Struthio camelus: one gene and its partner. The protein of the gene in region 1 purifies or fractionates together with the protein of each later gene. This does not show direct contact. Links are inferred from orthologs where the notes say so. Each region holds a gene or a part of one and is shown in the gene's direction. Other genes may lie near its edges.

Region 1 (15,656 bases):
GAATTTTGAAATAAAGATTGCAAAATAGAGAAATTCTAATATTACCTGCATGGTACAATATCCCAGGTATCATTAACTTGCCCTTCACCAGGGTCTGCTTTTAACCATTTGTGTATCTCCTAATGTTATGTTCAACGTGCTGTAACAGATTAATTTCCTTTAATGTGAAAGACACTATATAAAAACAGATAATATGTATTATATAATAAGCCTTATGTATTTTCCTTACAAAATACATCAAAGATATTGGGAATTCTTTTATATTCCTCCAGAATAAATCATGCTGTCTTTGCATTAATACATTTACAGACTGCTTTAATCTTTCAAGTGCTAAACTAACTGAATCTGTCTGAATAGTAATTACTTTACCTATTAGAAAACAGTGGGGCTAACAAAGCAAGAAGTAGTGAATTTCCAGAGGAAATAACAGTAAGTCACTAGAAGAGACATGATGATGTTCTTGATTACAAATCAATGGGTTATAGGTGCTGGGTTTCCACCCTCATGCTAAACTTTGCTGGGATAGTTTGCTATCTCAATCTTTCCAATATCCTACTAAGTAAGAGCGTTTCATCTTTGCAGTCAAGTGCTTGGCATATATCATATGCGTGAAAGAAAAACTGCAACTGATAAAATTTAAGTGGACTGCTTACAGTGAGTAAAAGGGGAAGGAAAGGAGCTGGATCTAGTCTTGTATGTTTGTTTGGTGTTTACCATTACACTGTAAATGCCAGTTCCCTGTTTTCCAGTTTTCCTCAGCATTCCTCCCTCCTCTTCTACTTCGTTATATTATTTATTCATCCCTGAGAAATATCTGTGTTTCTCAAGGTATCATATTCCCCACAGCCTTCATCTAGAACCTGATGCTTATCGTCCCCAGTCCTTGGTGTACCTGTCCGAGAGTTTCTTAACTCTTTATGCAGGATCAGGAATTTTACATTCACTCTGGCACATCTGGGGCCGCAAATGCTCTTTCATGCCCCCCCCCCCCCCCCAAAGCAGCGCCTTCATCTCTCCAATCTGCAGTTTTCAGGCATTGCCTGAGACAGGCTTTAGTCCCTTACTCACTCAAGTGTCCTGTTGACTGTAGTGTGTTTGGACTGAAAAAAGTCTTAGTTGTTATTCCTGACATTATGTTTCAGTGAAAACACAGATCACTTAAATCTGTTCAATAGATTGAGTGTATGGAAAAACCATCTATAACAGTTACTCTGAAATAGCTGTACTGACAAATCCCTGAATATAATAAGCTATATATTTCACCCTGTTACTTTATTCAATAAAGTTTTCTAAATAGGTAAGCTGGAAAGACGTGTTTAACTCACATAATAATGAAATAAAATGCTGACTTTTTATATAACATATGAAAAACCTTGATGTGACTAACAAAAGGAAAGGTGGGTAAGTCATATTTCCTTTATTTAAAAACAGTTTAGAAGAGATTCTGAGCTCAAGCTGATAAATAGAGAGCAGACCAACCAGATCAAGGTTTGGGGATCAAGGACAGCACGCAACATATTTGTAAATGGGCTTTACATAATTTATTGAAATTAGCATAAAGTTACAGCTTTACAACTCTGTAAGTCTTGAGTTACGCATCATCTGTAACAGAGACACCTGTTTAAATCTTAATATATGCAAAATGTCACTTGTTACCCTCAGGTAAAAAAAAAGAAGTCCTTCCACTACAATTAAGAAGCAATTCTTGTCTTCTCACCTGCACTAATTTATGCTTATTACCTAAACAAAGAAACACTTAATTTAAATGTAACGGAAGTCTCATTTTTGTGAATTGTCATTTTTTTGATACTGCAACAAGTTGAATGAAAATGAAGCAACTGAATAATGGGTTCTTAAAACTACACTCCTGCAGAGTTAGAGAGAGACTTAGCAAGACTCGTCAGCAGCCTAATTAGGTCATGCCATGCCAGGAAAGTTATGCTCATAAATAAGCATAAGGTTGGGCCCTAACTTTGGCTTTTGAAGAGGCTTTAGAGAAAGAGAGCAACCAAAATACATGTCCAGAGGTTTGCCAATCAATCTGTTTTAAGGATGTAAAATTATATTTTCCTGTGGAGGGAAACTGTTTGTAATCATTTTGATAGTTAACAATGTGCACCTTTGAAAGGAAGAAGATTGTCTCTGTTTTGTTATTATCACTTTTGACTTGAGTGATTAACTAAAGTTTGGAACTGTTTGCTTTAGGAAAAAAGTTAATCATGGAGTCAGATATCCTTGAAATAACTCTATGTATCTACAAAGAATGCTCAAATTCCTATTCTGTGAATTCAGCTGTAAGAACAGGACAGAGAATATCTTCTTCTAATTTGATTTTTAACTTGCTTGGTTATTTTTCCCTGCCTCACAGCTCAAAGCCTCTTTCTGCCAGTACTGAGCCCAAAGGTCTCCTTTAATTTCTGCCTCATGTGTCTTCCTGTTAAAGGAAACAGGATGTTACATATCTTCCTTGTAGGGTAGCATGACTGCAGTAAAAATACTTGACTGACGTGAGTTTCTCTTCTTTTAATGGAAACACGCAGGGAAAAGCCTATATCTTGGCTAAGTTTAAGGGCAGTGAGAAAATATTAGGTTAACCTCCTATTAAGGTTTGGTTTGTGTTTATCTTATGGTTAACTTTTGGAAAAGCAAATATTGGTCCCACTACTCCTTTAACTGCCTCTTTTAAAAAAAAAAACAAAAAACATTTGTTTAAAAGGATAAACTGAAAACAATTAAAAGCAGCTACTGCATTTGTGCCTTGGTCCATTTGATAACTTTTGAGACATATGTATACATATACTTAAATATATAAGTACTTCTAAGTCAATGGGAACTGTAATTGTGTGTCTATGGAAGATTTTTGTTTTCAAACAAGAAGCAATGCCATTAACAGATGTAGATGGTTTTCTTATTCCAGTGAAGTCACTTATTACAAACATCTTTAAGAGTGGTGTCTAAAGCCTATAGAAAGTTTGCTGGAGCAGAATTCTATTAAAAAAGTAAAAAACATTAAAGTTCTCCCTGTATAATTTGTTATGAGGGCTGGAGACCAACATCCAGTTTAAACTGCAAGGAGACTGGGGTTTGGTCCCTGTACCATTTTCAGTGCTGTCTTTACTAGAACAAAATCCTCCAGAACAATCCACAGTTTTCACAGCTGATAATAAGATTTAGACAAAATAACCTGTGTGGAATAGCTACAACTGGGAGAAGTCCTATGATAGAAGGAGAACATTTTTTCGATGTGCGGCACAGGGAGGTCTTCTAATTGCCAGATCTCGCAAGCATGCAGCAAAACTAGTTTGTCTAATGCAGTAAGAAAATTACTGTGGTGCTTGCTCCTGAAAGGTCTGTCCTTGCTCTTGTGCAGTCTTTCCATTAATATCAAAAGCATCTGTTTAAAGAAGATAATCTTACAGAAGTGAAATATATATACCATTTCATTTTAAAATGAAAAATGATGTACACTTGATAGACCAACATACATCTTTTATACATGTGCAGGACAGTAAGTCTCTCAAGATAACTTGCTCAGCCACACTCCTAATGTAGTAGTCAGGTACTGATTTAGGGTTTTGTCAACATGCTTCTCTTGTGAGTTAAGGAGATAAAGGTTTTAAGCCATCTAGTTACTATATATTAAAAAAAAAAAAATTAAAGTATCTTAAGGGTCAAACTTCTGTTATTTTCTTTGGATGACTTGAGCTGAGATCCTTTAGTGATTATTCTGACAGAAATATTAAATGATAATCATAGATAATTGCTATTGAACTATATTTTAAGTAAAATTACTCTATTGGAGATTTGTTAAATAGTTTGTTTTGCTGTTAATTTTACTAGTTCAATTTAAAGACGTGCTGAATTGGCAGGTTAGATAATTAGTTGTATGAAAAGTAAGTTTAAAGAAAAGAGATTTATTCTCTCACCTTTAGCAATAAGTCACCTTTAGATAACTTTATCTAAGAGTTATCTAAAAGCTATTTTGGGGTGAAAACTTAGAATAAAAGGATAGTCAAGGATTTTTCTACAATAAGTGACAAACATTGTTATTAATAAAATAACTCGGAATGTTTGAACTAGAATTTGAGGCGTTTAATGCTTTATTTGAAACATGCAAACCTGTACACAATGCATACTTAGTGCACGCTTGCCCTTTGAAAAAGTAGCACATTTTGTGAGAGATCATTTATTCTGGCAAAATTCCTCATTTAAGCCACTCTCCAATTAGTCTTTTAGGCAGAAGTCATTTAGGTAGGAGGCATTTTTAAGTGTGGCTACTGTAAACGACAAGAGGCTCTGTAAGCAGCATGGGGAAGCTAGCCGGCTGTTCAGCTCGTGTGCGGGACTGGACAGTTCGGAAATGTGAGATGAGTCTCATCTTCAGCGTAAACAACTCATCTGGCTGGCTGATAATTAGACTTGCTCGTCCAGCTACTGGCAGCACAGTGTCCAGTGTCAGCTGAGGGTTAACAAATTGTGTAGGAGGAAAACAATGTATTTTTTTTTAAAAAATTGTCTTTCAACAGTCTGTGAATAATAAAGGAGTTAACAATACCTACGTCCCTGAAGCACTTTGGGAACTGTAAATTAAGGTTTATATAAGAGTGTAAATATTATCACTTATTTAAAACCTCTCACATTTCCCTCCACTTCTCTTCTTCCTCTTCCCCATTACTTGTTTATTGGGATGATGCTATTTGCATTCATTAATATGTGTCCAAAGTGGGAGGCCACTGGCGGATGTGGAATAGAAGATTGGCTGAGGGAGTGAACAGGAGCAGGGAGGAAACAAGGGGGTGCAGTAAGGGGAGAGACTATTAAAAAAGTAAGAGAAGGTTAGCAAGAGGGGAAGAATATTGGGTTTCTTTTGTGATTACAGATTTCTTATCCTAAAGAATTAGCAATATCTTTGTTTTGGGGTTGTTGTTTTTTTAATGGGTGTTTCTTAAATCTTTTGAATATTCAAGATAAACAATGAAAGTTTAGAGCCATCATGATAAAAAAAAAGTTTCAAAATTGTATCTGGACTTCAGTTTTCAAGGTGGTTGATAAAATTCATGTTTTTTGGGATTCTGACTAAAAGCAAATTCAGATTAGTGCTGGTGCTATTTTTCCTGTGCCACATTTTAGTCTATGTCTTTCTGTCTGTTGTTGTTGCTGGCTTCCCCAAGAGTGGGATGGGAATATTTGGCGTCTCACCATGGGCCTGGGCAGATTTCTTGCCGCTGCTCTCAGCCCATGTGCCCCGCTATGCGGCGTGGAGTTTGAAGGACCGGTCCCGTATGTATTGATGAACTCTGAGATGGGTTCTGATATATGTTAGTAGCAAAACACAGAATGAATAGGAAGTTGAAATAAAATATTCCAAGAAGAGTAGAAACAATTGTCATTTGTGTCTTGGATGGAAAAAATAGCTATTTGGGAGGATGTGAACAAAAAACCTCACTGATTGTTACATCTCAAGGATGTATTTGTGGGGGGTTCTTTATAAGAAGGGCCACAATAATGTAATTACTGACAGAAACATTTGAGGTCATGTTTATAATGAGAATAAACTGGCTCTATAGTGAAGGGACTGCTCAATTATTAGAAAACAGAACAGTACCACTTTCCTTTCAAACACATCTGCCTGTCTGATGTTGTTGGCCTCGTTATTCCTTCTTCATAAATACTGTTTTTCTTGTTTCGAAATACTTTTGCTTCTCATCTATGAAACCCCTTCCTGTAGTTTTTCTCTTCATGACTCCTTCCCCTCATGTCTTGTTTTACCTTCCTCTTCCTGGCATTGACTCTGTTGAATACTACCTCTTTATGACTTTTTTTCATTACTCAGCTCTGGAAGTATGTATGTTAACTACAATAACTCCACTAATTGATTTGCATATCTTTTATGTGAGAGAGAATGAAATGCATAGAGGATTATAATAGAGTGCTTTGTGATAGGATTCAGGTTCTTTATCCATTAATTTTGTGTTTTCCTACTGCTGTCAAAGCAGTCCGAGGAGTTATTATTTCTGAGTGCAGTAGAAACCCTGGGCAAAAGAAAAAAGTGTTCTGAGGATGCATCACAGTCATAGCCACCTGAAGTGGAGGGGTACAGGGTAGCTAAAAGCAGACAATTTCCTTGTAGGCGTTGAAGCTTCAAAGACAAATTTACACTTCTTAATGGAAAATAAATGGATTAATCAGCTACAAAGTTGTGTCATTTACATTCTATTCTGAAATCAGTGTCCTATATAGTGCCAGGGACAGAGTCTGCTACAAATATTGATTCCCTACTACGTGCCCTGATCTGTATCAATGTGGAATTTAATATTTACCAAATATATCTGATTGGGTTTTTTCAGTAGTAAACTGTATTGTTAAAATGTTTTAATGTAGAATACTTTTCAGATGACAGCAAAAACTAGGGCCTAAACTCTTCCAGGTAATTGAACAATGGAAGATGTTCTTAGCTGATTAGAGGTAAGTCTTTAACCAAATTACTGTTCTAGCTGTAATTCACACTGAAATCAGCACTGATCACTTTCTTTTATGATCAGTGCTTTGTGGTGTCACATATATAGAAGAAGAAAAGGCTAATTTAAACCACATAGATGCAGTTCACAGATGCAGACAACTAGGTTTCGGTCAAGGTTTATAAACAAGTTAAAATGGGCAATGTAATTTCCAAATACAGGCTCTTCACTAGAGCCCTGTGGTTGTATTTTGGAGTTTCAGCACCTTGAGAACAGAGTAAGCGGTTAGCTGTGCATTCCTTGGATTTGGGGAACATTGAAAATTCAATTGAACTGTAAGGGAAATAATTTCTCTCCTGATCTGAGCTGAGCATCTTGCTAATGCATGCTGTCTTTTGAAGCTGAATTTATTGAAACAACAAACTTATGTGAATATAGCTGTTAGTGGATATATATCTCAGGCTGATCTCGTACCTTTGTAGAATAGATGGCCACTTCTATTTTTTGCTTTTGATTATTTTGATTTTGACTGTGTATGAGATACCTTTGATTTAGTATCATGGGGTGTGGTTCTTAGAGATGAATGGGGTTGACACTTTCACAGCAAGTCTGCCAATAGTGTGGGCAAGCTGTTTAAAGGAGCTGGTAGCATTTTGTAGCACAGAGGTCTGTTATGCAGACGTGTTTCTTGTCTGTGCTATAACTTCTTGCGGCATGTAGCAGCGACTGGACAGAGTTCACCTCACAGAATTTACACATGCCAGGAATTTTTTCTCACTCTGGTAGAGACATTTTCTGTGGCTGCATCTCCTGCTAAATCCTAGACTGTCTCAAATGGGTTTTAGGCAGGTATAGATTGAGTCTAGGTAGCTTCAGAGTAATCCAGCAATTTTGTGATGGGAAATCATGACCCTTGAAATTTACTTGCTTATTTTGTCTTATTAAATGTTCCCTATCCAGGGAATGGGGCGGGGGCAACACTGGGTTATTCTTCCTTAGTAGCACCATCTTTTGAATCTTTTCCTATTCCTAAGGAACGAAAAGCCAGCACTCTGAACTGCAGCTCTGCTTGCCTCGCTGTCTTGCGGAGAGCTTCAGCCTCGTCTGCTCCGATCCTGAGCAAGGGCTGCCTCCATCCCTCATGGCCGGGGAATGAGCGTTTCAGGCTGCTCGTAGAGGCTCTCCCGAATGACTCCGCAGGAGGGCTGCCCCAGCCTGCCCAGCACAGACCCTGGATCGCCTGCCTCTGCGTAAGTGACTGCTTTCTCTTTCCTAAAGGTTGTTTTGGAGGAACAGGATAGTTCTGGCTGGGGATTGTTCCCTTCCTAAAACATTAATATGGTCAGTGCATAGGCATGTGCTCACCAAATGAATGAAGTGTATTGGAATAAAAATACTGTGTAAGCCGTCGTGGCATACTAGCTGAACTGCAACTGTGTACTTAGACCATGCACATCCCACAGCCTCCTCACCGTCGGAGCTGGATTTCACAAACAGTGACTCAGAAGAGGATGTACCACAGCTCAGAGAAATGCAAGGAGTCCCAGGTAAAAGCTTCATTTGATTTCCTACAGGTAGGGTGTCGATTCAAACTGGTAATTTTATATGTAATGTAAAAGTACACTTTTGTTAAGAAAACACCGTGTAAACCACCATGGTGGTCTTAGGGTCCATTTTCTGTCACTTCTTTCCACTTCAGACAGTTCTCAGCTTCACACAGGAAAAGATTTGATTCCCTTTCAGTAGCCAGCCCTCTGCAAACTGCAGCTGGGAACAGTGAGTCAGGTCTGATGCTTTTGTCCTTACGTTCCACCGTCGCCCATAATAAGGCTAATAACTGGCGTTTGGTTATACACCAGTAGCTCCGCTGTAGTCAAAGGCCGGGTCCAGCGACTCCGTCGCCACGCAGTGGTTCTGCGAATGGGCTTGCAGAGGCTTCACCGCGCGCAGTTTAGCAAACCCTGCCGCTGCTGATGCACGTGCAGAATAAGTTCTGACTCTCAGCTCCTGGGGCCAAGTGTCTCTGCGGGCAGGAAGGTGCAAAAAGCTACAATTTTCTTTTTCTCACTAAGTTCCTTAGTCATGAACTCGCTGGGAGATATGTCCGCATGCACGCAGGCGAAGCAGATCTGCTGATCTAGCTGCTGTTTTACAGCTCATTTTCTAAGTATAAACTGCATGTTGAAACAGTAAAAGTTCAAAGAGAATAAAGCTACAGTGCCTACTGCAGTCTCCCACATGCCCCATTAAGCTCATCGGTAGAACAGTCAGCAATGCTAATGACTATGGATTTACTGAATAACATATCTATTTATTGGATAGTCCTCTTCCTTGCTGGAATTCTGAATGCAATTACCAAAGGTGCTCTTATGTCTTTAAATCTCATTTAGGAGGAGAACCACAGCCAAAATGCTAATGAGCTCTCCTTAATTGTAAACACTGAGCACTGATAAGAATGAAACTCCATCCTCTGTTCTCAGAGAAGTTCTTACCTGTTTCCTATTTACACCGCTTTTTATCTGATTCTCCCTCACTTCTCTTCTTAGGCAGATTAATAGACACCTGAACAGAGAAATAACAGTATTACATCTTCCTCATATCCTTTTGACAGACTTCTGAGATTGCAAAATGTTTTTTGAATCTTATTTTTGGAGAAAGGATTATTGAATGATCAGGCGAACTGCAATTTTTTAGGCTGGAACAAACCATTCTATAGCATTCACATGAACACGTTAATAACTCTTATTTAATGCTGATGGGACATTTCCTAGAGTGTGATAAGTGTGAAACAGCCCATAGTTTTATCACTCTTGGTTGCTGCCCACTCCTGCTAAAAAAAGGTTGATTGTGATCATTAAGTTGCAGGTAGGCAGTGCCTCTGGACTGTAAAATAGGAATGTTAGTGTGCGGTGATGAAAGCAAACTTTGCTCAACACCTGTCTATATATATTGCAGGTTTCAGTGGCTGCCCAGCTGATCCGTTCTCTTTATTGCCTGGCAAGAAAGAAGTGGTAAGTAAAAGCAACTAAGACAAAGTTTGTTTCTTTGTTTGCCTGGTTTTTTTTTTTTTAACTTGATTAGGTTATAAATCAAGAGCTCGGCTTTTGCAGCTTTAGAAGTGGCAGCAGAGAGAGCTAGCGTAGGGAGCTGGAGTGGCATGTGAAATGTCATCCAGTTGTCAGCATTTTCAGCTTGTGTTCTTTCAGCTGCATTGATATTTTAAGGATTTTATAAAAAACATACTGCACTAGTTTTTTCTTTTTTCTTTTTATTTTAACAAAGACTACATATACAAAAACGAGATTGCAATAGCTAGATTTATTTTTATAGCAAACTCCGGAGGAAATAAACATAGTAGTAGCCAAAGAGAAATAAAATAACTGCCTATAACATGAGAAAGTATTGTTTTAACAATTGTTTGGATTAGAAAGCAGCGAGATTTTTAAGTTATAGCATTCAGTGGTATTGGATACTGGAAAATGTCTAGGATATGATTAATGAAACATTATTGGAAGGAAATACTGTCAGTTCATGTGTTAGCACAGATAGTATGTAATGTCTATGTGCAGCACTATTGCAGTGTCAGGCTATTCTTGATGGAAACATTTTCTTATGCTAATTCAGTTTGATACACTGCGGTAAAAGGAATACATTAGTCTGATGTTGTTAGCTCAACTAATGTGACAGTAGACAGGAATCGACTGGTATCTCAGTAACTTCTATTAGCAGCTCTTCCATTAGATCAGTAAGTCTTTTTAATGTCATTACTTTTTCCTCTCTAGGTTCTTTACTATATGTTTCATGTTAGGGATGGGGTAGATGTCTGATTTCTTATATTTCTTTGTTGGTGGGAACTTTTTGGCTTTCTTCTAAAAATTGTAATTCTTATTTTATTTAAATACCTACTAGACGTTTCAAGTAGTTTATTGACATAGTTTTGGTTCTGGCTCTTAAGAGGCAGTGCCTGGTGCTTTGCTTATTTGTGAACGCAAGAATTAACGTTTGGAATTTGTTTTCTATATGCACTAGCTTAGAAATGTGTTTTCTTATTAGTTTGTTTTATCTATGTTTTTAGTTTTGCCATGTGTTAGATTCAGGCTTGTGAGAAAGAAGTCTCAGGGATCAGAAGGAATAAACAGTGAGTACAATGCTTATTTGTTTAGCTTTCACCCAGCTATTTTGTCCTTTAGTGCAACATTAGTTGGAAGTTTACATCCTGGCTAAGCATGCTAACCTATTCAGAGAAGGAGCCCCAAGGAAGTGGCTGGTGCCAGAGCAAAGACAAGACTTGCTCCTGGCAAGGCTGAATCATTGCTGGCATTTACTTAACTTGCTAGCTTGTACCCAGGCTGCACCTGGGGCTTTGTGGCTGCAATGAAACAGGTTCTTGGGCAAAATTATCAACTGAGGTAAAGAAACTAAATTAATTTGTGCTGGCTAAGAATCTCTTCCTTCTTATCTCTGCATAGTTTGCTTCTATTTTTGAAATGATGCATTTTGAGGAAAAAAATCAATATTTCTTCAAAGTGTGTATCAGAAGGATTGCTATGTAGCTATGTATTTACTCCTATAAAGTAAGTATGATAAATATTCGTATTTACCAGTTTGTACAGTTAGATATCAAATGAAATAGATAAAAGAGAGAAATCTCTTTTTAACCTAAAATCTATAGCACAGTGCTGAGTGACCAGAAAGAGATGCGTATGTGTAGAAACTCTGCAAGAGAGGGGTGAGAGAGACAGAGAGAGAGAGAGAAGTCTGGCTGAAACCGAAACTTGATTCAGAACTGCTTGAGCAACCTGGAAAAAAAATCCAGGTGCGTGTATGGTCACGCTGCTGTTTGTTGCAGTTGTTGCCAGTTGTATTTGAAAATACTCCTATTTTCTCCAGAAACTTCATTTCATCTCGATTTCCCTTTGTCTGTTCCCCTAGAAGTTAGATTTCTTTAAGGCTTGCTGCTTCATACTGCATATTTCCAGCACAGCTTGCCCTTTCAGTGAGCTGTCACGGGTGGAGAGGTACAAACAATACCATGCAGACACATGCAAATGGTGGCTTATATTCTCTGTGTTAACTCCAGCAAAATTAATAGATTTACAGTTGTTTCTGATATAAAATTGAAAAGCACTGGCGGTCTAGCCCTACAACAGAGAAAATGTTGTAGCAGTTCAGTGAGTCACTCGGGAACACAGTACAGGATAACTGGATGACACCTAGTGTTGCTCAGATAATACACCAGCGAGTTTAACTCTGAAGAAGAATGTTGCAGTGAGAGAATGACTATGGCTATAAAAATCATGGGAGCCCACTTGGTCTTCAACATTATATCTCACATTTTATTCCATAGCTTGAATTCCGTTTATTTCTGTTTATCTCCCTCTTAGGAGCAGGAGGCTTCAGTTTCTTTTCTAGTTAGAAAGGGTGTCACAGGTAGTTAGCATTTTCCGAAGGAGAGGAAAGACAATACTTACAACGAAAGGAGCACATGGTGCGAGACGGTGCGAGAGACTTTGCTGCGAGAGTCGTTGAAACAGGCTGGATTACAGTTTGCACAGGCGTTAGCTTTCAGACCTTTGCAATATGCAGAGAGTATTTTGACCTGCCGCTAGCAGAAGGAAGTAGCTCCCATTTCAGCACATGTCTAAACAGGTGGATACTCAAAGTGCCAATGATTATCCAGACTCCAGCTACCCAACTACGCCCTGAATGGCTCCCCGCCAGCTAACGCGAGCGCGGGAAGTGCAGCGTAGAGACACCCAAGCTGGCATGGGAATGGGCAAGGCTCATCGCTCTGGGTACCTCATCTAGCAGTTGTGGCTGTGCCCTGTTTGGACCCAGACCGGTGCGTCCCGCTGAAACCAGCTCCTCGTTGCAGTGTAGGTAGTCACCAGCCCATCCTGCGCTCGTTCTCTAACATCTTCCTTCTCAGTGTAGTAATGTCCGCCCTGCTCAGAAGTAAACCACTGCTAGGGCTGTGGTCTTAATTCCCTTTTCTCTTGCCTTTTGCATAGTCTTGTGTAAGACTTACACTTACATCTTGTGTAAAGCGATGTTGGTCTTTTATACTGCGTCTGACATTAGCCTTTGTCATTAGTTAGCTTTGTCATCCCCCCCGTACTGCTCCGCTGCAGCACCCTAATTTTCTTCTGAATATTTTTATCAAGATATCAATGTCTGTCTTTGGGGCAAGAAAAAATTCTCTGAGGGAAAACTGCAGAATGTAGATTATCTTTGTAGCATGGAGATTAATTAACAGTAAGTAGCTGAGGCCAGGACTCTTACCAATCAGAGTATCAGGTGGCTGTAAATTATCTCCTCAGCTGTTTCGTTTAACAAGAGTTGGGATCTGAAGAAAGTTGACAGTTTTGGTAGTGCTTCAAGGATCTACGTAATTCTATTTTTATCAGTCCTTGATACCAATCAGACAGACTTGTAATACCACCGCAAGCCCATATACACAAGGCAAATGTGGTTAGGACCTCTGGTATTCAAGTCTATCTTGCCAAAATAGAGGTTGATTAGGACTCATAGGCATAGTTTTATATATGTACTTATAAAGAACATCTTCCTTCCTTCACAGAGGTGCTCAGTTCTCATTCTCGCGTATTTAATCACGTAAAGCAAAAACAATAATAATATATGACGTACCTGTGGGATCCTGAGCACCTCAGGAACATGAGAGATGCTTATTATGAAAGTATGCATTGCTAAATTCTTGAATGAGGAGGTTTATTTTGGAGAAAAAGAGGTAGTTCTTCTGCTGAAGTTTTCAAGCTCTGGTTTTTCTAGCAAATGTGTCACTTCAGTTTCCTTTCTGTAATCATGGAGGCTGACTCCTTTGTTTCCACACTGAATATAAATGTAACAAAAGAGCTGTTAAAGTAGCTTTTGGCATCTCTCAGGCTGGTATTGTTCAGTATATTCTATGTCTCGCCATGGAGTATGGCATATGCTGCCAATGCAACTTCACATCTGAATTTCCAGTGCATTTTCATGGTTGCCTTTCACTTAAGCACTTATGCTGAGCAGTTGTTTTTATACGGAGCTCTTTAACTGCTGAACATATGTAAATGCAACTTGTTTAACAAGACTGCGGTGTTCTGGTACGGGTGGGGCTTGGAAGTTTTTTGGGCACATATGAAAATGTAAGAATTTACTCAAAGCAAATGGAAAACCTTGTTGAAACAGGTAAGGGTGATTTTTTTCTGTCTGTTTTGAGATCTTCCTCTGCAAACCTTAGGAGTCGCTATGGATCTTAAGCCACTGGTAATGAGTGTGTAAAAGCATAGTTTTTGCTAATGGGATTCCAGAATAATTTTTCATACTCGTGTAGAAAGGGAGAAATCCTTTTCTCAGTGGAGGAGCATAAATCAAACCGCGCTTTGTTACAGTAAGACATACGTGTTTGTCTGTGACATTTTCTCCCTGCTAAAGTTGAATGCAGGAGTAGGACGAGCGGCTGTTGATGTGGGCAGGGACAAAACATTTTCAACATCACATAAAGGATCATGATTAGATGAATGATTAATTGCACTTCCTTACAATGGCTGCTAAACATAGTTGAACCTTGTTTACAGGAGCATGATACCCACTCTAACTCTGACTCTTGAAGGCTGGACACAAATTTTCTCACCATTGGTTCAGCCCCTTCCTCTGCCTCCCAACACTGGTGAAGTAAATATTATAGTTCTTCCAGGTTTTGGTTCAAGAAGTAGCTACCTCCTCAGCTTGTGCCTGGGCTAGATTTGTTATGTGTGCTTTCACTTAGGCTAGCAGGATTTGGCCATATGATTTATAATTTTTACATTATTATTGAATAACATCACAATGCATGTAGTGCCGAACCTGCCAAACGTGCTCAAAAAGCTTCAGGAACGAAGAGGTTCAGGCAGAGGAACCTACTCTGAATGGATGAGCCAGAAGTTTCCCACTGGTGCTGCTGCTATTCCGGCTTCACTTACAGCATTGATTATGGGAGTTTTAGACAGAATAGCAAATGGCCACTGCCTTTTTAATCACACTCTTGTCAAGCTGTTCAGCATGGATCCAGGCAATAGGCACTTGAAATTCTGGGGGCTTCCTTCAACTTGTTGAGGGTCACATTCCCCTTTATGTTAGCGTGCAAATGAACCAGTAAAGGCAACAAGAAGATTATTGTTAGCGTGCATGGCCCAGACAGGCAAGACTTTAGGAGATAATTTTCTAACTTTCTTTGCTAGGGTCTGTATGTTGAATTACTAATTTGGTACAAGAGGGCAGTTAAAACCAGAAGATGGAAAAAGTAAAACAGTCCTCTGATTTTTGCTGAAAGGAGATGAAATTAATTAATGAAGTACTTAAGGTTCAGAAAGCAGTGGAATCTTTTGCTGTCATTACAGTTAAAATTAAACAAAAATACATGCATGAGACACAAATAATTTCTAAAAATTGTGTAAATTGTACAATTAAACTAACTGTGTGCTTCCATAAATAATAGAGATGACAATTTCACAAATAAGGGAATAATTCCTAAAGAATAATAAAAAAAGCTGTGTTCAAGGACACATTGTTTCTACTGCTTTTCCATCTCTTTTTCTCTTAGAGGCAATCAAATTGCTCACATACCTTGTTGTGAGCTGAATATTTTGACTGCACACACATTTTAATAAGCGCTACTTTGTTAGTCACAGATCATGGCTCCTTGGCCTGAGGTAGAAAAGCCTGAAACCAATAACTATATTGGGGATTCTTCCAAACAAAACCAGAACGTGCCTGGAAAAGAAGGAGAAAACCACAAAGGTAATGTGTGCTTACCTGTGAGTTACAGGGATCTATAAGTTTGGGGCTTCTTGGGAAAGATTGAAGATAATTAAGTCATTTTTCGTGTGTTCTATTTCATCAGGCAATGTAGCGTCACTTGGAAATAAAGGGGAAATTCAACCTGCATTTTCCACAATAGCCTTGATAGATGAGACAAGACCAGAAGATGACCCATGGGCTCTGCCAGAACTGCAGGACACTGGGGTCAAGTGGTCAGGTAGCCATTTCTCAGTATACAAGTTACTTTCTTTTTCCATCACTTCCATTCTCTTTGTCTCAATTATTTTTCTGAAGTGACAGTTTCTGGAGAACTGAATTTAAGATTTGAGCACTTGGATTTTCAGATGTAGGTTTTACATTCTCTGGGTTAGTTTCCCCGCTGGTAAAATAGTATATTTA
Region 2 (15,656 bases), on another chromosome or scaffold:
AATATTACTGCGATTGCTTTGCTCTGACATGGCAATATGTGACACCAGACACTCTGCAGGTAATTTCTGTTTGTTTAGGTGCTGCATACCGGATATGGAGTGCACCATGTCATGGCTTCAGGCACAGACTGCCGCTCAAAGTGGCTATAAGTACTTCTGACACTTTGCTGTTCTCTGAACAGAGTTCATCTTTGAAAAGAAAGGTCAATGAATGGATTCTAGGTTCAGAGGAAAGCCAGCGGGATGGACTGGTTTCACAAGGACTCGAATCCCAGAAGTCAAAAGTTGGAAGTTCCTAAATTCTCTTGGATCCTGAATGTTTGCTGTTGACTCTGAACAGAACCATCTCAGATCTGACAGGACTTTTCTGAGCAGAATTCAATAATTTAGGGTTATTCTTGTGACCTCATCAGCTGGGTGTACTCAAAGGCATGCTTGAGATAAAAAATATGGGGAAGTCTGCCTCATATGCTGCAGCTCTGAGTTAAAACACCCAGAAGAGATGTTGGAGGCCAAGTTCAAAACTTCTTGACAGGGCTTGTTCCTAGGCACATGTCCCAGCTGGTGAGCGAGGCGGCGACCAGGATCAGCTATTACACCTATGAGTGCAGCCTCATGAAAGCAAGACTGACCTGCTGATGCTCTTGCTCTAGTGCTTTAACTACAGGACTGAAGGGTCCTGTGTTTTACTCTCTGATTTCATGAACAGGTCATTGTTTATGCAAAGTACAATTGAGGAGAAATTTGCAAGAGTTTCGGGGCAGCAGAACAGCAACTGGAGCACTCTTATGGGAGTGAGACGGGTGACCCCAAACCGTAAGATTGTGCGTATTAGACAGAGGAAGGACTAGAATCTCAGTCTCTTAGGAGCTAATGCTAAGATTAAGAGAGAGAGAACAAATTTAGTTTGGGTTGGGTGCATGCATCCAAGAGAAGATTCATGGCTACAAATCTTAAACATAGGTAGGCTTTTAATGCTCTTTGGGGAGCAGTGCCTAAAACCTCATATTTTGTCATTTGTTATTGTTTGTCTTAAGAGGGTCCCAGCTTAAGGTGCTGATTTTGAAGAATTCTGTTCTTTCAATACCTGATTCTTCTGCTGCATTGTCTAGGGAGCCATGGTACCTACCCTGAAATCCTTAATTTTACTGAGTGGGAGAAGGTCTAAACAAGACACTTCACAACACTGAAGGTGCTGTAAAGTGCACTTAAATGTACTGTAAATATTGCCTGATGAACCACAAGATCAGGGATGGGATACCTCCTCAGCAATTGTGATATGACAACTGTTGCAGAGCCACAAACAAGTACCATCTTGCCACCTCCCAAGAAAGTCAAATCGGACAGTGTAAGTAATTGGTAACAGTTACACAGCAGATCCCAGAAGAGGTGTTCTGAGTAAACCCTGCAAAGTCAGTTTCTTTTCTTCTTTTAAACTGTTTGCAAAATCAGAAGTCTCCCAACTCTGCTCTTCAGAGACTTAAGAGCTTTGCGCTTGCGATCTCAATCTGAGATTCCAACCTGCCACCCATTTATTTAAAGCAATATTATAAGGCCAGTATTTCTTTCTATCCTTTGGTCAGCTACTATTACTAAAAGCCTTCTCTTACTTTTTAAATGTAGTGATGTGTCCTGACTGTAGTGTACAGAAGCAATTCTGTAAACTCTAACAGCAGAAGCAGTGTTACATACACAAGGCAGTGAAGGGGTCATAGCATTGGTGATAGTCCATGTTCTCTGTTGTGTTTTTCACATTCAGATCTCTCCCCGGGCAGTAGTGGCCAGAAGTAACGCAATAGCAGCCTATGTGAAAAATATGGTATTGCACATATGCCCAGCAAGAGTCTCAACATGTATTTCAGGAGGAAGGCCAAGGCCTGAAAGGAGCGTGGAGAAAGACCTACTCACTCTTTCCTAGAATAGCCAACACGTTAGATTTTACAAGAGCACTGTAAAATCACTCCTGTGATTGCAGGAATATGCCAGAGCCTGACCAAGATGTATTTGAGCAACTGTAGACCTCTTAGGCTCACTCTATAGCCAGTGTGGAAATGCAGGCACTTCCTGAGGATGTCATCTCTTCCTCATGTAGTCATCAAGGATGACACAAATCATACTCTTTATAGCCTAAAAGAAGTGCCTTTTTCTCTTCTTAGGTTATGAAGAATAATGAGGTTCAGTGTAGGCATCTCCCCTGTAGCTCTGTGAAGGTAGGTGATGTGCTGCCTGGCCTCACAGAGTGCATGAGAGCTGTGGGGCAGCTGTAACTATACCTTGTCTATTCGATAGGGCTCCCCACTGGCCCAGCCAAACCCTTAATCCAGAATATCTCATTCCTCCTCCCACTCCTTAGTTCCAAAATTCAGCTGCGTTACTGGAGGCAGGCAGTCCTGGGAGTGGTTGCTATCGTGCCTGTTGATGAAAGCTTGTGGGCCTTGCCAGCAGGTTTAGCTTTCTCAGGAGTTATGGCTTTCACATTGCCTCCTTTGAGCTGATGTAATCCTAACAAGTCTGTACTTCTAATTTTGTTCCCACCCTTTAGTCTTCTGTCAATGTAGACTGTAAGGAACTTTCTCACATCTTGGTTTTACACAGTACCTAGTGCAGCAAGGTCTCAGCATTGACCGAACCTCTCAGGACTTTTGAAAAATAAAAAATTAACAAACAAATAAAAACGAATAGTAAGCAATAACACCTAGGAGAAAAGCACACAAGTGACTGGCTTTCCTATTCAAAACAGATATAAAGTGTGAAGAATCTATTATGGCTATGATAAACTGATGATCCGTAAAACAAAGACCTTTAAATTTGAACTATCTGTTCTTTTATTGCAGTCAATAACTTCAGTTAAAAAGCATCATCTCTTTAAATCTTGAATTAATGAATGAAAGTGTTGGAGTTTTCAGCGCATCCCTAAATAACTCATTCCAATAGTTAATTATTGCATTATTAAAAATGTTGCCTTGTTCTGCTAGTATAAATCTATCAAGTTCTGCTGTCAAACACAAGATCTTTGTTATGCTTATTCCTAACAGTCTGAAGTTTAGCAGAAATATTCTGAGTCTTAAGGCTGTGATAAAGTGCCAAAGAATGTAGCCGCTGGGTTTTATTAATTATTCAGTATTTATACAATACATTTGCACTTCCTGGTCTACAAGGCCCATGTCAGGATTAGGTTCCCACTGTGCAAGCTTCTGTACAAGCCCAGAAAAACTGATCGCTGTCCTAAAGATGTTATAGTTCAGAGAGTGGTGCGAATGCTTCACCGTTCCCCATCTTCACCCTCTTGCTATGACTGGGCACCACAGGTGACAACCCTCATCATTTTATGTCACCATCTGTTCTTAATCCTCCCTGCCTTTTTGTATTCTGATTTCAGCTGTGACGACACTGAAAGGTATCCCCTGGCTGCTGCGGTCAGTATGTGCAAGAAGCAGGGTGAGTCTATGGAAACAATAAAACCAGACCAGCATCACTGGCACTAATGTCTAGGTGATTGGTGGCTGCTCCTTGCCCACCTCTTTTGTAAGCACCATGGCAAAGGGGGTTTGAAGGTGGGCAGTGAAGCAACTCCACTGGCCGTGAGGCATTCCTCTCAGGAAGAGAGGTGGTATAGGGAAGGCATGAAGATGTACGCCTCCTGCCCCAAATCTCTTAGTTTGAGCATAAAAATCTTTTCACTCCTCCTTTTCTCCCTAGCTCAGCACTGGGCTCTTTTCACAGACTGAGTTTTTAAGCTAATTTTAAAGAGATTCTTTCCCTATGAGACAACGAAGAGGCAGGAGATGTGCTCTCTGACATGCAGTGGCATGTGCACTGGGTCTATCGTGCTCCAAGCCAAATCTTCAGCAGCGGGGTCTCCAGTAAATTAAACGATGTTGCTCCAGTGGGAGCGCTCATGCTTGGGATCTCTTTCTTCTTCCCTTTCTTCTCAGAAGAATGGAGCAGTACCACAGTCCTGCCCAGAGGTCATGACAGGAGACAGGAGGTCAGGCTTGGAAAAATATTTGGGGTCAAGTATGCTCTGAATAGACTGGATTAGAGGGGTTGGGCATGTGGGGAGGAAGAAACTATTTGCAGCAAATCCAGTGTCAGCCATGTGAACTGAAGGACAGGGCTGGAGGCACAGTGTGGGAAAGTAGGCAAGCAAGCCCGGCAGCTTCTTTTTGCTGCAGGGTTCGAATACTGACGTACTTTTCAGGTTCATTTCGCACAAACTTTTAGGGAAGTGTTCTTGTCTTTTGAGACATTCATTTTGGTACCTGAGACCCTTGGGAAAGAAGAGAACTGGCCATCGTCATTAGATCAATGACAACCTCCTTTCATCCTCCTTTCCCCCTCCTCCTCCTCATATTTTTCTCATTTTCTCATTACAGAAGCAAAGACCTCTGCTCAGTTCTCTCTCTCGTCTCTTCACTTGACCCATTACATTCTGTCTTCTGTGTTTCCTCACACCTATCCTTATTCATTTTCCTTCTTAACCTTTCTTTACTACTCCCCATTTTTAAGGAATGCAGATCTCTCTCAGCTCCAATTTTTGCCCTAATCTCCTTTCTGCTACTGAGAGGTCACTTTTCTCGCTTGTCCCTTTGACCACATCACCTGCCTCTTCACATCCTCCATGGGCTTCTTCTGTTTGGTTACATCGTACATCAGGTAGTCATCTTCACTGCCAGCACCCTCGGGTTTGTGGCACTCTGCCGGCCTCAGTGAGTGTGGAGGAGGCAGCCCCCGGGGCCCAGCGATGCTGCACTGCCAGGTGCCGTCTCACACCGCATATGCTTAGCCGGTGCCCTTCTGCTTGTCTCACGCAAACAGCCTTAAGGCTGTTTCAGGCCGCGCTCGTATCTGATCTTAGTAGTCCCTTTTTCTTTGATGCCCGTAAAGGTATCTAATAGCAGATAAGGCATGGCAGCATTAAGTTTTCTGAAACACTCCCACTGATGTGCTTCCTCTCTCTGTTGTTTGGCTCCTCTGGCAGCATGTCTGCAAGCGCTTGGCTGACAGTGTAATCTTCCCGGGGCAAGGCAGTCCTTTGGCCTTTATCTGTGCAGGGCAGAGAGTCCCATACCATGATGACAGCACTCGCTCTTTTTAGTAGTAATGACGATAGCAGGAAGAGAAGTAAATACTACAGTTCCATGCTTGAGGGTCACAACAGCTATCGTAAGTTAAATAGAAACTGGCCACCCAAGCCCTGAGTTTTCACTTGGAGAGGGGCTTAGCTTAGAGAAAATGGGAGTGGGGAGCAAAAGATTGTGGCTCCATGCCAGCTTTCCTGGGAAATGAGAGGCTGAGGCCGCTTGAGACTGGCTCGAGGGCTGCCCACTTGCTAGTTGATGCGTAAGTTTAAGAAAGAGGCAAGACGTCAATGTTTCCTGGTTGCAGACATTGCATGCTGGTTGCATGCCATACCCATCTTGAGACACCTCATGCCATGCTACCTTTTCCTTGGTACCATGCCTAACCTGGGATAATGCATTTCACTCTTGAAGCAGCTATTTGAAATCATTGCCAGATCTGGGTTCTCCTTGGGAGCAGGGCTTACAACACTCAGGAAGACATTTTCTGGACTTCCCGGACAGTTGCAAGGCTGGGATCAGATCAGCATCTAGTTGCTCAGGTTTAACTTCAGTTCTTCGTTTCCCAGGAGCCTTTTTACATCCAGGAAAATGACAGTTTGAGCCTGTCTTTTGGAGCTGCTGTGTTCAGGTCAGGCTGTGTCTGCATTCTCATTTCCATCATCTTTCCTGAATATGACTAACTCTTTCTGTCAGGGCTGGGTGACCAGGCGTCTGCCTGGAAACAAAACAAGCCCACTTACTACATTTCCTGTTGTTCGCTAGCCTGTCCAGCCTGCCTCTGTCTCCCCCAGCTGATAACATCACATTAAAAGGTGCTGACGTATTTCCTTGCGTTGCTACTTCTAGAAGTCATCTCTGCGTAGAGTTCAATCTTTTTTTAGCTCTTTTACAGGCCCCTTCTCTGACTGTGGGCAGTCATTTGAACTGCCCTCTGTCCTGTCCTGTTTCTTCATTTGCAGTATAGGCTACTCCTTCACTAGTTTGCGGAGCGCTTGTGGGTTTGTAGCACTTAGAGGTTCTTCCTTGGAAATCAGGGTAACAGTATAAAACAGCATTGTCTGAAAGAGACCTGCACGTTATTGGCACCTAGGATTTTTTAAGGTGGTGGGGAGGAAGTTGTTGGCAGTACATCTGATCATATCTAACTTCCTGGATGGGAAATTGCATGTTTTCTTGTCTCTGAGGAAGAGCTCTGTAGTCTCCTCCTCCCCGACCCCACTGTTCTGAAAACATTGATTCTCCCAGTCACTGAAGCAGCCTTTTATCCGGAAGTAGCCTAGGTGTCATAGGCAGCTATTCACTGGGCAGATAATACCTCTGTTGAGCATAACCGAAGAGGAGTGGTTTCATTCCCTTTAGGTAGATTTTTTTGGAGGGTCTGTGTCTTTCTGCCTCTTATTAGTATCTTCTGAGGGTGGTTCTGCCAAGGTGAGGTGATACTGCTCTACAGGAGGATTTTGGATGCCTTGCACAGCTCCAAGAGAGATGGGAGGAGAATGCTTTCCCCAGGCTCCTTTGCAGCATGTGGCTGGCAGGAATGGTGGTAATAGATACCCTAAAAAAGGGGCAAAGTGGACTCTCAGCAGTGGCAATATCCTGCCACCTCTCTCTCCCTCTTTCTCCCTCTCTCTTGGCCAGGCTTGTGGCTGGAGAGGGCAGCTAATCTTCTTCTGGGTGGTGGATCTGACTTTGCAGCATCCCCCTGGCAGCCCTGGGAAGACTTCTGGCTGTGTCAGCCAAAATTCCTCCTGGGGACTTTGCTGCAATGCAGCACACCACACCCCTGCCAGCGCTGGGCTCAAGCCTGGAGGGGTTGATGCTGTTCAGCTATAGACCTGCACTGCTATGGAGTTCCCACCTCCTCTTCCAAATTAGCCCCGATGATTTCAGATTGCTTGGCATTATCTCCCTGGGGCAGTTGGTGTCTGCAGCGTGTGTCAGCGCAGCCTTGCGCACATTTGGTTTCACAATGTGCTGCCTGCAGAAAGCGCTCGCTCCCTGAAGGGAACGGCTGTGGTTTCATATTTCATTTCCCTTGTACACTACACCCGAATTCCAGACGCTTGCTGGCTTTACTGCTGCATGGGCTCAGAGCACAGGTCTTTTGCCGAATCCAGCAGACAGATAGGGCTTCCCTCAGCTCAAGGGAGTGGACCATGAAGACGTCAATTTTATTTCTGCTTTGCCTCTCAGTTTTCCCAGGCTTTTCCCAGGGCAGAGTTGTTGGAGAGGATGAAAGTGGTTTTGCTGAATGTAATGTGTTCTTCTCTGGACAAGTCCCACCAGAAGGATTTACCGAGCCGTTCCATGTGAAAATCTGTCAGCAGTACAACAAAGAGCCACGATTTGCAACACTCTACAGTACTAAGGACAAAATCCCTCTTTATTCAGCTTTTAAGTATACAAAACCAGCGCAAAATGAAGAGGAGGAGTGGCTGGTTGAACCGCAGGTAAGTCAACCTTTCCTTCACTGTAAAGCAGATGTTCCTTGAGAACATTTCCTCTGAGGTGAAGATATTAGCTGGGGATGGGATCTTGCAAAGGAGTCAAGAGCTTGTGGAACCTCTTTTGATATGAATTTACTGCAGCCAGCTTATTCTGGTGCTTGGAAGTGAACAAATAGTTCCTTATCCCACGGAGCTTGTACTGAAAAATAAGAGGCTGCTGCATGGGCTGTGGAATGTGAGGGGAAAAGAAAATCGTCTTTTACCCGGTAGGATCTGTTTGTCTCGTTTAGCTAGCTACCTCAATTAGGGAGCACTGCTGGTGGATAATAGGGTTAAACATTTCAGTGTCAGGCTGAAGGCTGCTCGGTTGCCAGCATGATCCTAGTGTTGATAAGGGCTCTTTAGCTTCACTGGACAGGAATAAAACATGCATTTGTGGCTCACCAAGTTGACACAGCAGCTTTTTGTTGTGTTCCTCTGTTGCAGATACTGGATAGAGAAGTGGATTACAGTGTCCTGGAGCAGAAATGTTTCAATTGAGTCAGAAGTGGGCAGTATAAAGAGAATATCACTACAGCCTCAGTGGTTTTTGCCTCCCTTGACACTTGACATGTTTAACCAGGTCCTTCAGGCTGTTATATTTAAATATATTTATATTTAAATATTTATATTTAAGTATTTTAACCCTTAAACAATTGCTTGTGCCTTAAGAGAACGAGCACACTTTACTTGACTTTTTTTGCAATATTGCAGTTATTTCAGCAGTGAGCATGGGCAGTATTGTAGCAAACACCAAGCTCACCTTGTCTGTTCAGCTCAAGAAAGACTGGCAGTTTCTGAGGGTGCTCTGTAAGGACCAGAAGCAGTCGTGGTATTCGAGTAGCATGTTGCCAGCAGGGCCCTCGTGTGCTAGGTGCTGTACATACCCAGAATCAAAGCTCATCCTTGTCCCAAAAGGGTGGCTGCTGTTCATTTTCCTTCTAGGATGCTGAGATATTAAGGCATTAAACACTTCCCACAAGGTGGCAGGAAGTGAAGGCAGGGTTCTGAAACCCTGATTTTGACCTTGGACCATCTCCCTGCTCTCAGTGCTGGGTTTTTAATTGCAGGAGTTCCTGGGAGCCTTTTGAACTTCTTTTCTTCCACTCCGCAGATGCCCGTAGGAGGTGTCTGCTTGCTCTCTTTAAACAGAGGGAAGGGTTTTTGCACACTCTGCCATTATGGAGATAAGGAAGTGTGATGAATTTTTAAAGCACGGAGAAGACCTAGACGAGTAAACATCTGCTGTCTGTGCTGTGGAGGCAGCAAAGCAAAGTGGCAGAGATGAGATCCTTTCCCATTTGCCTTGGCCACTGACCGCCATTGTCACCTCTAGGCACCATAGCTCCTCCTGCCCTTGCAGTCTGACTCACCAGAGCTGCTGCAGCAGCTGTGCAGGCCCAAATGCCTTTTCTGCTCTTTGGACTCCTCAAAGTCCCTTCACAGCAGGTTCCCTGTGCAGGTCTCCAACACTTCTCTGCATCCAGTTCACTCTGTCCCTTGCCACTTCTTCGCTGACCTGGTGATTGGCCCCCCTAGCACCTGCTAACACCTGAGCCACACCTCTTACATTTCCTGCTTCAGAAATATATCTGAGCCCCCAAAATTATTGCTAGGCTCTACCCTTAGTTGCTCTGACTTTGCACTAGTGTAGCCCCAGGGGTAGCTGTGAATCTGTTCCCTGTTACACTAGGGTCTGACTTAGTCCCTACAGATCAGTGATAGTATGAAATAAACTGAGAGTTTTGAGGATTTTTCTTCCAAGGAGCAAGCTACTCCTCCCAGTACTAAACAAGACAAATCCCCTGAATTATTTTACCTCCTTCTCACTCTTGCTTGCTTGTTTTGTTCTTTTTCAACTCAAAAACATCCTTTAAGTGACAATATTGTTCTTATTTGAAAGGATACACCACATCCACACACGTGATTAAGATAGACAAGATACTGAGCTTCCCTCAGGACCAGAGAGCTTTGGGCAAAAATGCTTTACCTGTGGAAATGCTTCCTAAGCAAGACTTAGCCTTTGGCCACAAGGAAAGATCCCAGTACGGCCAGCTTAGAGAAAGCTGCGCTGGGGATGGGGGGGCATCTTTACTGAGCCATAACACTGCAAGCACCTGTATCACGTCAGGTGGCATCACTAGGGAAACAAGGAGGGCCGAGCAAAGATCATCTCCATCCTGATTACACTAAATTCCCCAGTATGGTCCTGGAGGTTGGAAGCCGTTCTTATTTTGACTAAAAGCATTTACTCAGGGAATTTGCCCACAGCTAATTGCATGCTCAAATTCTTATGGCCTGGCCGTTGGCCATAGACCCACCTACTAGAGTATAGAGATGGGACGAAGGCAGGAGCAAGGCTGTCAAGTGGCCACAGGCCACTCCGTTTTCTTTCTCGCTCAGGAGAACCATGCCTTGGGTGAGCAGTGGAGACTCCTATCTGGGCTGATCTGTGATACCTTATATGCAGAGAGCAGGAGTGAGAGGAGTCCCCAAAGCCAGGCAATGCGAGGATACGAGTTTTCTATGCAGCTGATTTGGCCTTCCAGCTCACACGTACTCAATGACGTGACCATGCTGGACTTTTCGTTTTGTCAGCTACAGTATGTGCAGGAGTCTCCTTCACTCTTTCCTGAAATACAGGTACCTCTGTGGTGAAAGAAAGCAGCTGTGTAGTTCAGTGGAGGAGCCTCAGTCCAAGGAAGAAAACTGGAAGCAAGTTGGCAGAGGAATCTATAAGAGGAAGAAATCAGGACTAAAAAATTCCTGGAAGTCTCTCAAGAAATAAGCACATACACAACTCTCAGACATCCGCTATACAGTATCTGGAAGGGAGACAGCAGAGAACAGATTTCACCCCTATTCTACTTGTTCTTATTAAGGCTAGGTCGGGTAGTCAAAAAAAGCTCAGATGGTAACCAAAAGGAACACTTTGCAACACCTGCTCTGCAACATAACCCAGAAATGGATACACTGGCTATTTGCTGAGAAACTTCCTAACTGAGACAGGGATAGCCAGGTACAAACAGGCATAACTGCATAGTAACGTGTTTGTGTACATGGGCATGCACACACACATGCAGAGATGCACCAAGCAGAAAGAAATCACTATAAAAATGCTCTGTGCAGTCTGATGAGTGACTAAGAGTTGTCACATGTTCTTTTGTAATAGATCATGGTGTAAGTTGTGAGGGCAGCGTCTCACTCCTTGCGTGCCTACCTCCTCAGGAATGTGCGTCTGGGAAACAAATGCCAAACGTAGCACAGAGGCAGTAATTGGATGGGAAACAAGAGGAATGTCAGCACCACCCACTGCTGATTGGCAGCTGGAAACTGTGAATTAATTCAGCAACCAAGACTGTGAAAAATTAGAGAGCAAGAAGGGCAGTCTGATGAGCAGGATACTGGTGCAATGCCCTAGGCTTGGTTTTGAAAACCTGCTCTGCCACAGATTTCTTCAGGGGTCGAGAGCAAGTTACTTAGGCGAGTTTCACCTTGTCTAATTTCAGTCATTTAAAAACTGTATTTTTGTCTATCTCTCTCTGTGTCTTTTAGAGAGAGGGAGGGAGAACTCTGGCGTTGCTTTTTCTTTTCTAAAATACAATAAGCTGGATGAGTCTCCTTGTCCTTTAATTTACTTACTGACTACCATCAGCTAGATGACCGAGGTGGGCATTACGTCACCCAGCTATAGACCTTTTCCACCAAAGAGGTTTGCATCTGAGCTGCTCTTCTCATCTCTCTTGGTAGTCGTCAGCCAGGAGAAACAGGTACTTCTGAAGCGACTTGTGTACTTCCTACAACAGAAACCTTAGCGTGAGATGCATTGTACCTAATCCCTGGGAAATGAATCCCACACTAAGGCTAGATGAAATATCTCCATCTTAAGTACTAAAGTAGGGAAGGTGGGAGGTAATAGTGTCCAGTTTTTTAAATGAAGAAACTTGACTGCAACTAGTTGGCATAGCAGCTATATGCCTACCTCAATTCTTCAGTCAAGCTCTTGCCTGCAATGGAAATACGCCTTTAATCCCCTTCTGCCCCTTCTATAAAGTGGTAACCCTCACTTTGTGTATTGCAAGGATAAACCCATATAATAGTGTTAGGTGGTTGAACGCAGAACCATGCAAGTATTTAGATATGTAATTTATTTTTAAATCCACCCAAGAGTAAGGTGTTTACACGTGTACTTGACTCTTGTCCTTACAAATTCTTTGGACAGATGGATTCATGGCTAACTCCATGACTAGAGATATGCTTTGCCTGTGCCACAAACCAAAAGCTTTTTGAGCCAGTGAGGAAAGGCAGCTTGCATGCAGATACAGTGCTGGAGACAGCTTGCCCTTGGGGCTCTGTCAGAGGAGGCATGAAAAGCTCAATAACATGAGTTATTGCAAAGCATAATGTGAGTTATTATAAAGCATCAGCCCTTAGTGATGTCACAGCCTACTCTTGTTTTCTGACATAGGAACAGCACACGGCCACGCTTTTCCTGTTTTTTTAATTGCACCTGAGCAATCCCAATGGTATGTGTAAAATCCTGCAGCTGAACAGGTAACTGGAGACATATTTACTTAATAGGCATCTTCAAGTTTGCATGTGCTAGCTCATAATCAGAGAAATTTAAGTTTATACTATAAGCTTAATGTAGGCTGGGAATCTGCAATAAGGCAGAGCTGACTAGTCTCAGATCTGCATCTTTTGTGATACAGCATCTCAGTCTCCCTCCATCATTTTCTTTAATTTATCAAGAAGGCTGCAGGACTCTGAGGCAGGAAAGAGGCTGCAGCATAGATCTGCAATGGGAACAAGTGTGGATGAGTGCCCCTGAAATGACATTTCACTTAAAGGGGTGATGGTACAAGAGGCAGTTCACAGGCACGGCCTAGCACCTGTGTCAGCTCCCCCCTCATATATACTGTGTGAGTAAACACACCAGCTGCATCCCTCATCCCATAACACAACACTGTCCTCTCATCAAAACAGGGAAAACAGAGGAGGCCAAGGAAGGGGCTGTAATTTTATGGAGTGCAGCTCAACAAATCTGGCCTTGTTAGACAGCTGTAGTTCACAGGGAGCAGCTAGGGAGCATGAGGAAGAGGGTGCAAAATAAGGCAAAAGTCTTTCGTAAGTGATGCGTTTAGAAAAACTAAGATTTGTGCATCAGCACGTAGAGTCACTAACCTGGGTCAGGCCTGTGTTCGTTTTAGCCCAGTAGCAATAAGCATCAGATGCTTCAAAACAAAATGCTAGAAAGCTAGCAGGCGAATGGGGGTAATGTGGTCTGCTGAAATGGCTAATATTGCTGGCACTGCGACCAGCCTTTGTGCAGAGAGACTCCTAAGTCTAGGCTTCAGGGGCTTGGGTGATGCAAGAGGCCAGTCAAACCTCAGTTCCCACAATGAGGATGATGGATAGCTACATACGCTCACTAGCACTGTCCCTTTCACACTGTTTCTTAGCAGAAGCTGGTGTAGACATCACAGCTATCAAGACATAATGCAGGAAGCTGGGGTACCAAAAGGGTGCAAACCCTATGAAAGATCTCAGGGACATAAATGGTGGGAACCATCTGTTCAAATACATTACAGGGGAGCCAAGGGACTAGGAGGGATGAGCACAGAGTGATTCAAAGCAGGATATGAACTATCTATCTGCCATATCCATTTCCAAAATATGTGTTATAGAGTGCAGTAAACAGTCTCTAGGCCAGGAGCAAAGACAGCAGATTTAATTGGGCCAGCACAGCATTGGGACTTCAGCGCCATGGCATCTTAAGCAGACACCACATGAGGCAGTGACTACCAGAGACTGGCTGCACCCCTGAGCTTCTACCAATGCGTATATAACCTTTAATCTGGGGAAGAAAATTACAATGCGGTACACCCCTGTGGAAAGGCTGGAGACAGTGTCAAAAAGGAGTGACTAAGAGAAAGACAAAGCTGCAGCCTTCTGAGAAAGACCTGAGCGTACCATGGTGTTTAAGAGCTCTTGCTCCCACTGCTTATTACCTCCTGGTGCACGACCTTCTAAGGCTCTGGAAGGAGTGCCTGATCCAGCAATTACTACCTACAACTCCATGGCAAAAGAATGACAAACAGGCACATAGCACAGATTCCACCAAGGACTCACGGTGACAGTGTCCCTACCCATGTTGCCCCTGGGAGGTATGTGGTCTTTGAGGGTGAGGTTCAGATTGTAAATGACAAGTCTTAGGAGAGCCCTGTGAGCTCACTGCAGTGCCTATGTTCGAGACTGTGAAGGACAATTTAGGTCACTGCCATGTTGCCCTACTTGGTTCTGGCTTCTTGCACAATGAATGGATTGGATTTGACAGTTAAGAGGAATTGAATTGCTCATTCATATTTTAAAGTGCCACAATAGGTGCTTTAGTTGAGCTGGAGGTACCACCATCTTCAAGGTGGTCATCTATTGTTCTTAAAAATATTTTTTACAACAGGCACAAGTTAGGGGCTTAGTACAGGATGGCTGGTGAAATTCTGAAGGCTGTGTTGTGCTGTAGACCAAAATGGAAAACTGTAAGCATCCCTGCCCTACACCTATGTGCTTGTCAGAACAGCTAAGTACAGCATATGCACCTCTGAAATACTGAAAAGAAAATAAGGAAGGAGTGCAGCATGTGTTCTGAGGAACAGTGTGTCATAGCAGTCATGATGGAAAATGCACTTTACGATCTATTTTGCACATTGCTTTCTAAGAAGGTAAAATGCATCCAATAACTCTTCTCTCTACTCTTTCAGATTGATGATCCAGAAAATGAGCTACAAGAGATGGTGCATGAAGCTGATATTGATGGCTCTGTTGCTAACCTTGGTGCAAATCAGGCCCTGACCTCAGACTATGTGGGCTCTGGTTATGAGAGAGGGCTGCTGAATCCCAGCTTGCTTAATGAGAAAGATTTCCAGATGGCCACTTACACCCTTACAAACGCCGTTCCTCTGAGCCCGTCTCTCAGCAAAAGCTGGCACAGAGACATCAGGAGGGTAGTGGAGCAAGCTCTAGTCCCTCACTGTTCCGAGAAGGATCATCTGTATCTCCTTGCAGGTGCTATTCCTTCCAACATCCAAGTTAACGGCAAGGTGTCAGTGCCAGAGAGTCTCTGGCTGGCAGCATGCTGTGATGCTCCAGAAGGATGGTCTTTAGGACTGGTGAAGAAAATGAAAGATGAAAGCAGTTTGGCAGAGCTAGCAGTGGGAGAGCTGGAGAAGCAGCTTTTAGCAGGAGTTCAGTTGTTCAAGGGCAACTGTAGGGAAGATAACCAAAGCCAGGAGAAAATGGAAGCAATACGGCAAATTGTTGCTCAGATCCAGTCTGGAGAACAAGCAGGAACAAGTGACAACCAGGAGGCCAAAGACAGTGGCTTAGTGAGAAAAGTGGCTGGCATCATTGCCACCCCTTTCATCAAACTTCTGGAACTCCTCATCTACGTGTTTGTGGAGCTAGTGAAATTCATATTTTATTTTCTGTGGCTTATTATCAAGCGGGTTGGCAGTACTCTTCTGGATGGAGTCTACAGTCTGTGGAATGGGGTGGTTTTCTACCTTACAGAGATCAGCAAGGTGCTGATCAGCATTCCCTGTGATGTGGGGAAGGTCATCATCAACATCCTGCAGGGCTTTCTGGAAATTATTCAAGATGTCACAGTCTTCACCTACAAGATCCTGAGCATCCCCATGGGATTTGTCCTTCACCTCGCTGCTTTCCCTTACTACTCCATCTGTGCCATTCCCTCCGTCCTCAAAGACATAGCCACTGGGATTGGTGGCACCTTCTCACTGGTTATTGATGCCACGGCCACCCTTCTGCATGGCTTTTACTACCTTGCCGCTCACATAGCCAAAAGGTTTGTCCCTAAGGGCTCCTCTGATGACTGATAAGAATAGAAATCAGAGCTGCAAAGACAAAAAGTGAAAGAGGAGTGGAGTAGTGCTTTAAGAAATGTGGCCAAATGCTGTCAATTCTATTCTGATATTTATTGCAGTAACATTAATAATAATGAACAAATTGGGGAGTAACAGGGAGGGCCAAAGTAAATTCATCAGGGGACACCACCATTGTAACTTAA

Evidence for each region.
Region 2: the proteins of SLC34A2 (region 1) and ENDOD1 purify together in Homo sapiens (co-immunoprecipitation; 3 studies listed by BioGRID and IntAct, counting the BioPlex papers as one, with this or other methods). This does not show direct contact. The link is inferred for Struthio camelus from reciprocal best matches to the Homo sapiens genes SLC34A2 and ENDOD1.

Annotation. Positions count from the first base shown.
Region 1 is NC_090945.1:66,975,147-66,990,802, reverse strand, and holds the start of SLC34A2 (sodium-dependent phosphate transport protein 2B), read left to right. Parts: upstream 1-7,487; 5' UTR 7,488-7,708; intron 7,709-7,826; exon of another isoform or gene 7,827-7,921; 5' UTR 7,922-8,005; intron 8,006-9,413; 5' UTR 9,414-9,469; intron 9,470-10,149; exon of another isoform or gene 10,150-10,203; intron 10,204-10,533; 5' UTR 10,534-10,596; intron 10,597-15,121; 5' UTR 15,122-15,130; coding exon 15,131-15,236; intron 15,237-15,339; coding exon 15,340-15,474; intron 15,475-15,656. UniProt on the Homo sapiens protein: Involved in actively transporting phosphate into cells via Na(+) cotransport.
Region 2 is NC_090942.1:211,860,990-211,876,645, reverse strand, and holds the start of ENDOD1 (endonuclease domain-containing 1 protein), read left to right. Parts: upstream 1-6,870; 5' UTR 6,871-6,964; coding exon 6,965-7,534; intron 7,535-14,331; coding exon 14,332-15,465; 3' UTR 15,466-15,656. UniProt on the Homo sapiens protein: May act as a DNase and a RNase. Plays a role in the modulation of innate immune signaling through the cGAS-STING pathway by interacting with RNF26.